Oryctolagus cuniculus: one gene and its partner. The protein of the gene in region 1 purifies or fractionates together with the protein of each later gene. This does not show direct contact. Links are inferred from orthologs where the notes say so. Each region holds a gene or a part of one and is shown in the gene's direction. Other genes may lie near its edges. The genes, in order: CCT4 and TLE2.

What was found.
Region 2: the proteins of CCT4 (region 1) and TLE2 purify together in Homo sapiens (affinity purification with mass spectrometry; 3 studies listed by BioGRID and IntAct, with this or other methods). This does not show direct contact. The link is inferred for Oryctolagus cuniculus from reciprocal best matches to the Homo sapiens genes CCT4 and TLE2.

Annotation. Positions count from the first base shown.
Region 1 is NC_091433.1:140,930,208-140,934,005, forward strand, and holds part of CCT4 (T-complex protein 1 subunit delta), read left to right. Parts: intron 1-49; coding exon 50-182; intron 183-984; coding exon 985-1,124; intron 1,125-3,602; coding exon 3,603-3,699; intron 3,700-3,786; coding exon 3,787-3,798. UniProt on the Homo sapiens protein: Component of the chaperonin-containing T-complex (TRiC), a molecular chaperone complex that assists the folding of actin, tubulin and other proteins upon ATP hydrolysis.
Region 2 is NC_091447.1:59,642,856-59,647,404, forward strand, and holds the start of TLE2 (transducin-like enhancer protein 2), read left to right. Parts: upstream 1-1,487; 5' UTR 1,488-1,746; coding exon 1,747-1,770; intron 1,771-1,854; coding exon 1,855-1,952; intron 1,953-2,149; coding exon 2,150-2,213; intron 2,214-3,470; coding exon 3,471-3,515; intron 3,516-4,549.

The DNA of each region.
Region 1 (3,798 bases):
AACTTGCAGATTTCTACTCCCTAATTATCTCCTCCTTTTCTTTTTTGAGTGGGACAATTGATGACTGTGAGTTGGTGGAAGGACTGGTTCTCACCCAAAAAGTGGCAAATACTGGCATAACCAGAGTTGAAAAGGCTAAGATCGGGCTTATTCAGTTTTGCTTATCTGCTCCCAAAACAGATGTAAGTAGAATCCAAGTGAACTTGGTTCCTCTAAATGGGTCATTTGTTCATTAAAATGAAAACAGAAAATGCTGTAATTAAAAAGCAAAGATTTCAAAAGAATTAATAAAATAGAGACATAGAAATTGTTGATGACACATGTAACAAATATATCGCCTCAACTGAATATTCACTGAAATTGAATTCTGACTTGAAGACAAATAACAGGGATATAAAAATGTATTGTAAGTTATATGTGGAATTTGCAGATTGTTTCTACCTTTCTGAGAATGGAAACTTTCACCAGTCCACTAACTTGGGTATCTCTTGTTCTACATTTGTACAAATGGAACTTTAGTTCAATACCTGTACTCTGAAGAAATTGCTTTTTACTTAAGGTATTTCCCTTTTAGTCATGAATGCCATTCTCTGAAGGGGGGGAGGGTTGTCACCTTATGTAAGTTTGCTCTCCTGTTTTACGTGTTGATATAGATAAGATTTCTGCTATTTTCTCAGTGTAGTATTTTTATTACAAGCAATAAAATTAAAAGGATTGAACTAAAATTTCTATAATACAATTTTCTTGATGTGGAAAAAATGACATTCAAGAAATAGAATATTTATTTTACTTTTTTTAATATGAAAAGTATAAATAAGGCAACAGTTGAAAACACTCGAGTTTGGAATACATATCTCCAGGCCTTTTTCTTTGCCGATCTATTTTTGACTATGATTTAGGTGAATTTAGTTGGAACAGCGTGAGAGTCTTAACTTCACTTAAAATTTCTTTACCAATGCAAATCATTGATTCTTTTGTAAACAGATGGATAATCAAATAGTCGTTTCTGACTATGCCCAGATGGACCGAGTGCTACGAGAAGAGCGAGCCTATATTTTAAACTTAGTGAAGCAAATTAAGAAAACAGGCTGTAATGTCCTTCTCATACAGAAGTCCATCCTAAGGTAGGAGGCTGTTTGCTTTGTTCATTCTTTAATAGCATTTATTTTGAAAGATTTATTTATTTATGTGAAAGTCAAAGAGAAGAAGAGGCAGAGAGAAGTCTTCCATCTGCTGGTTCACTCTCCAGTTGGCCACAACGGCCAGAGCTGGGCCGATCCAGAGCCAGGAGCTTCTTCCAGGTCTCCCACACGGGTGCAAGGCCCCAGGGACTTGGGCCATCTTCTACTGCTTTCCCAGGCCATAGCAGAGAGCTGGATTGGAAGTGGAGCAGCTGGGACTCGAACCGGCGCCCTTATGGGATGCTGGCACTGCAGGGGACAGCTTTACTGGCTACACCACAGCGCCGGCCCCAATAGCGTTTTTTGTTTTTTTTTTTTAGATTACTTACGGGCCACCTGCAACACCAGCATCACATATTGTGCTGGTTTGAGTCTTGGCTGCTCCACTTCTCCAGGGAACAGTTTGGGAAAAGCAGAGGAAGATGGCCCAAGTACTAGGGCTCCTGGCTTTGGCTTGGCCTAGCCCATGTTGTCACAGTCATCTGGGGAGTAAGCCAGCAGATGGAAGATGTGCCCCCCGCCCCTGTGTAACTCTTAACCTGAAATAAAGAAATCTTCAAAAAAAAAAAAAAATGTTACTTGAAAAGCAAAGTTAGAAGGAGAGACAGAAATCTTCTATCTGTAATGATCAGGGTTGGGCCAGGCCAAAGCTTGGGTCTTCATCTTGTTCTCCTATGTGGGTGGGAGAGGTCAAGTACTCAGGCCATTCTCCATTGCTTTCTCGGGTACATTAGCAGGCAATTGAATGGGCAGTGGAACAGCCAGAACTTAACTGGCACTCATGGGTAGCGACTTAACCTGCTGCACCACAATGCCAGCCCTGCCTTAATTATTGATTTTGGATCGCTGCTAGCAATTTTTTATGGGTAAACCACTAAAAATCTAGAATGAATCTGCATTTGGGGTGTCAAACAAATGAATAAATCTAAAAGAAACCTTTATTTAGGTATCTGTACAATTACTGGCCTTGAAATTTGAAGTTCCTTTGAGGAGAGTGCTTTGCATAGTCCAGATACTAAAGAATTGAAGTTGGTGTTGTGGCACATCCCACAATGAAGGGTCAGCTCAAGTCCCAGCTGTTCCACTCCCATCCAGCTTCTCGCTAATGTTCCTGGAAAGGTAGCAGCTGATGTAATTGGGACCCTGCCATCCATGTGGGAGACTGAATGGAGTTTCTGGCTGTTGGCGGCCATTTGGGGAATGAGCCAATAGATGGAAAATTCTGTCAGTCTGCCTTTTGAAAAAAATGGATAAATAAAAACCTTTCTACTCTGAAAAAATAGAAAAAATGAACTATCCAGTTTCACTTAATCTGTTTTTTCCTAATAGGTATGCATATTCTCATTTATTGATGAATAGGCCAGAAAGACTGTGGGTGCTCATCTTTAATAGATCATGTGAAGGCTTGGAAGACTTGTTTTTAATAAATAATTAATGTTAAAGCAAATGTAAACTGAGTAAATTGCTCATCTTTCCAAAAGGTATAAATTTATGGAGTCCAGGCTATAGTCATACTACTTTTTAAAAATAAAATTAAGGGCCGGCGCCGTGGCTCAATAGGCTAATCCTCCACCTTGCGGCGCCGGCACACCGGGTTCTAGTCCCGGTTAGGGCGCCGGATTCTGTCCCGGTTGCCCCTCTTCCAGGCCAGCTCTCTGCTATGGCCAGGGAGTGCAGTGGAGGATGGCCCAGGAGCTTGGGCCCTGCACCCCATGGGAGACCAGGAAAAGCACCTGGATCCTGGCTCCTGCCATCGGATCAGCACGGTGCGCCGGCTGCAGCGGCGGCCATTGGAGGGTGATCCAACGGCAAAGGAAGACCTTTCTCTCTCTGTCTCTCTCTCTCACTGTCCACTCTGCCTGTCAAAAAAAAAAAAAAAAAAAAAAAAAAATTAAGAAAGATTCATTCATATGAAAGAGTTACAGAGGAAGAAATAGAAGGAGATCTGTTCCATCAGCCTGTTCACACCCCAAACAGCCACAATGGCCATGGTGGGGCCTACTTGAAGCCAGGAGCCTGGCCCTCCATCCAGATCTCCCACATGAGTGGCAGAAACCCAAGTGTTTGGGCCACCACCTACAACTTTGCAGATGCATTAGCAGGAAGCTGGATTGGAAATGTGGATAAGCTAGGACTCAACACTAGGCACTCAGATATGGGGTGCAAGGACCCAAAGCTTGCTGCACCATAAGGCCTGCAAAAGGGGAATATATTTTAGTGTTAGAATTTCAGTGAAATTTCCAGTATAATTGGAAATTGTTTTAAGACTTTTGAGCTTATAACTGATATTTAGAGCATTTTTCTTCAGAAATAATATTGACCATTTTAACAGTAAAATAATTAAAAGAAGTTGAACAGCAAAATGGGGGATTTTGTTTTTGTTTTACCTAGCATTAGCTTAATCACTGATTTGTATTTTAGAGATGCTCTTAGTGATCTTGCATTACATTTCCTGAACAAAATGAAGATTATGGTGATTAAGGATATTGAGAGAGAAGACATTGAATTCATTTGTAAGGTAAAATGTTAACACCTCTCTCTATGTATATAAAATTCCCAGTATTAAAATACATGTCTTAATTTTTGGATTGTACTGTTTTTCCAGACAATTGGAACC
Region 2 (4,549 bases), on another chromosome or scaffold:
TGAGCGGGAACGGAGGGCAGGGCTGTGGGCTGTGGGCGTCCCCGGGGGCAGCAGGGAGCCCAGGCGCACCCGCCGGGCAGGGAGCCTCTGCCCCGCACTCCCGCGGCCTCCCCACCTCTCCCTGCCCGTGTCAGCCCCCTCCCAGCCAACCCCGCCTCCCCGAGCTCTCCCTTTGCCCACACGATTGTGTAGCGGCCACGCAGCCACGCGGCCACGGGCACTCCCGCCTGCTCTGTCCCAGGACTGCCCCAGAGCGGGGCGGCCAGGAGTCCTGTCCCTCGTCCGTCCGGTCTCCCTGGCGCCTGGACGGGACCTGGGACAGCTACGAGAGGATATCTGGCCATGGCTTAAGAAAGATGCCTTAGGGGCCGGCGCTGTGGTCCAGCGGGTAAAGCCCCGGCCTGCAGTGCCATGTGGGAGCGGGTTCGAGTCCCGGCTGCTCCACTTCCCATCCAGCTCCCTGCTGTGGCCCGGGAAAGCAGTAGAAGATGGCCCCAGTGCTTGGGCCCCTGCACCCGCGTGGGAGACCCGGATGGAGCTCCTGGCTCCTGGCTCTGGATCAGCTCAGCTCCGGCCGTTGCGGCCAAGTGGGGAGTGACCCAGCGGATGGAAGACCTCTCCTCTCTCCAACTCTGCCTCTCTCTGTCTGTAACTCTACCTCTCAAATAAATTAAATCTTAAAAAAAAAAAAAGTTCTGTGAAAGGAGACCTACGGAGCCCCAGACCTTCCCTGTGCCGGGTCACTCCCCAGATGGCCACAGTGGCCTGGGCAGGAGCCTGGGACTCCCCGAGGTGGCCCTCGCTGGTGCAGGGGCCCCAGCAGGCGGGGTGGGGGGAGCAGGCAGCGGCTGAGGGCTGAGCACGGCCGGCCCCAGAGAAAGAGGCCGCCTGCAGGTGAGGGCCTGGGCCCCGGCGCCCTCACCGGCCCAGTACACGGCCCAGGGCAGCCTTGTGGGCTGTGCCCCAGTTCCTGGAGCTGCAGGTGGGCTCCCTGCGTGTTTGTTGATTGACTTAAGGATTGACTTAAAGACAGCGGGTGAGGAGGGGGGAACAGTGAGGCCGTGGGGGGCCAGCAACTGGCTCTGGTCCCAGCCCAGCCCCGCGTGAGCGCCCCTGGCCTGGCAGGTGTCCCCCTCCCCCCACCAAGGCCCTGACACCTGAGGCCAGGGCCGCCCACCCCGGACGCCCCCTGCCCTCGCGGCTGCTCCCGCTCCGGGCCTGGGCGTCTGTTTTCTCGGCTCTTCCGCTCCCGGCCTTGGCGGCGGGTGGGCGGGCGGGTAGGTGGGTGGGTGCGGGGCGCCAGCGTCCCCACCGGGCAGGGAGCAGAGAGGGGTCCCGGGGTTGCGGGTGGGAGGGCAAAGTTGTTGCGGGGCTGGCGGGGGCGGGGGCGCCGCGCCGCGCGGGCGGGGCGGGGGCGGCGGCGCCACCTTAAGCGGCTCTGCCCGCGGCTCCCGGCCGAGCCCCGCCGGAGGGAGGCGGCTCCGCGCGGGGCCCGCGCCGCCCGCGCCGCCACCGCCGCCGAAACCCGGCTGCGCCCGCGCCCCGACCTTCCGCGCCCCGCGCCGCCGCTCGTCCCCGCCACCCGGGCCGCTCGCGGGGGCGCCCGCCAGGGACTCCCGGGCGCTGCCCCGCGCGCTCTGTCGCCCTCCCGCTTTTTCCCCGGACCCCCCCCCCCAACCCGCCGCGGTCGCCCCGCGCCCCCTCCCCATATTGTCCGGCGCGGGGGGTGCGTCTCAGCGCTGCAGGATGTACCCCCAGGGCAGGCACCCGGTGAGTGGGGGGCCTCGGGCGGCGGCGGGGGAGTCCCCGGCGCCCGGGACCCTGACGTCCCCCCTGCCCTAACCCCTCCCCCAGACCCCGCTCCAGTCGGGCCAGCCCTTCAAGTTCTCCATCCTGGAGATCTGTGACCGCATCAAAGAGGAATTCCAGTTCCTGCAGGCACAGTACCACAGGTGCGGGGGAGGGGCGGGCAGGGGGCGCGGGGTGCACCTGGAGGGGCGGGGCCGGGCTGGGGAGGCAGGTGAGGTGCGGTGTGGGGGGGCTCTGAGGTCAGGGAGGGGTGGCGAGGAGGAGGGGAGACCCAGGCCGCACTTTGGAAACTGGCCCCCCCGCGGGGTGCTGGGGGACCCCGCACCCCGTGTCCTCGCAGTCTCAAGCTGGAGTGCGAGAAGCTGGCCAGCGAGAAGACGGAGATGCAGCGGCATTATGTCATGGTGAGCCCCCCCCCGCTCCTCGTCATGGTGAGGGCCCCCCCCCGCTCCTCATCATGGTGAGGCCCCCCCCCGCTCCTCGTCATGGTGAGGGCCCCCCCTCCTCGTCATGGTGAGGGCCCCCCCTCCTCGTCATGGTGAGGGTCTCCCCCTGCTCCTCGTCATGGTGAGGGCCCTCCCAGCTCCTCATCATGGTGAGGGTCCCCCCCCTCCTCGTCATGGTGAGGCCCCCCCAGCTCCTCGTCATGGTGAGGGTCCCCCCAGCTCCTCGTCATGGTGATGGACCCCCCAGCTCCTCATCATGGTGAGGGCCCTCCCAGCTCCTCATCATGGTGAGGGTCCCCCCCCTCCTCGTCATGGTGAGGGTCCCCCCCGCTCCTCGTCATGGTGAGGGTCCCCCCCACTCCTCATCATGGTGAGGGTCCCCCCCCAGCTCCTCGTCATGGTGAGGGCCCCCCCGGCTCTCGGCCTCCTCTCGCCCCCACCTGTGCCCTGGGCTGTCTCTCAGGGTCACTCCAGGGAGACCAGGGGGCACTGACCCCAGGCTGCCCCCTCCCCCACTCAGGGGGGTCTCTGCTGGGGGCCCTGTCCTGCTGTGCCCCTCCCCCAGCCTCGGGCTCCTGTAGACCCGGGTCCCTGAGCTGCTCTCTCCCCGGCCGGGGGCTCCTGTAGACCCGGGGTCCCTGAGCTGCCCTCTCCCCGGCCGGGGCTCCTGTAGACCCGGGTCCCTGAGCTGCTCTCTCCCCGGCCGGGGGCTCCTGTAGACCCGGGGTCCCTGAGCTGCCCTCTCCCCGGCCGGGGCTCCTGTAGACCCGGGGTCCCTGAGCTGCCCTCTCCCCGGCCGGGGGCCCCTGTAGACCCGGGTCCCTGAGCTGCCCTCTCCCCGGCCGGGGGCTCCTGTAGACCCGGGTCTGTGAGCTGCTCTCTCCCCGGCCGGGGGGCTCCTGTAGACCCGGGTCCCTGAGCTGCTCTCTCCCCGGCCGGGGGCTCCTGTAGACCCGGGGTCCCTGAGCTGCCGTCTCCCCGGCCGGGGGCTCCTGTAGACCCGGGGTCCCTGAGCTGCTCTCTCCCCGGCCGGGGGCCCCTGTAGACCCGGGTCCCTGAGCTGCCCTCTCCCCGGCCGGGGGCTCCTGTAGACCCGGGTCCGTGAGCTGCCCTCTCCCCGGCCGGGGGCTCCTGTAGACCCGGGTCCCTGAGCTGCTCTCTCCCCGGCCGGGGGCTCCTGTAGACCCGGGTCCCTGAGCTGCCCTCTCCCCGCAGTACTATGAGATGTCCTACGGCCTCAACATCGAGATGCACAAACAGGTGAGGGGGGGCTGGGAGCGGGGCTGGGGGCCGTGCCAGCCTCTCTCGGCTTCTGAGCCGGGCGGGCGGAGGGCAGGGTCCCGGCGTCCCCGTGGTTGAGGACGGCCGGGCCGGGGGCCGCGTGCACAGTCTCGGGCCTGCTGGGTCTGAGATGGCCCCCGAGACGCTGGTGCACTTCCGAGGTTCTGAGGTCGAGCCGGGAGGCGCGGGCCGGGGCTGCGAGGTGGCTCTGCGGGCCGTGCGCTCCGTGTCGTGGTTCAGGCTGACCAGGTATTGCCACGGTAGACCTCAGGGTTCTGAGATAGCCCTCGGGTTCTGGGATTGACCCAGGGCTCTAGACTTCCGCGTGAGCTGGGTGCTGAGCTGACTTCCCGAGCTGAGGGATTTGGTGTCGCGATTCTGAGATAGCCCGCGAGGTTCTGAGATTGACCCTCATGCCGGGAGGTTCTGAGGTTTTTGTTTGTTTGTAAGACTGATTTATTTATTTGAAAGGTAGGGTTGTGAGGCGGGGGGAGGTCTTCCATCTGCTGGGTCACTCCCCAAATGGCCACCATGTCCGGAGCTGGGCTGATCCACAGCCAGGAGCCAGGGGCTCCATCCGGGTCCCCCACGCAGGTGCAGGGGCCCAGGGACTTGGGCCATCGTCCACTGCTTTTCCAGGCCACAGCAGGGAGCTGGATTGGAAGTGGAGCAGCCGGGACTCGAACCGGCGCCCATAGGGGATGTGGGCACTGCAGGCGGCGGCTTTACCCGCTGCGCCACACGCCGGCCCTGAGTTTCTCCCTTAGCTTGCGGGTGACCCAGGGTTCTGAGGTCCACCTAGGATGTCTGCAGCGGTCGGGGTTGAGTCCCGAAGCCTGGAGCTGACCCGTGGCCTCCAAGGGGCCGGGAGGGACCCACAGTGCCAGGGCTGACGGCAGATTCTCCCTGGCCGAGCCGCGGAGATGAGGAGGGCCGGGCCGGGACGGCCGGGGCCGGGGCCACCCCGCTCTCTGCTGGGACGTGTGGGCCGTGGAGGGCTCCCGTGGGGGAGA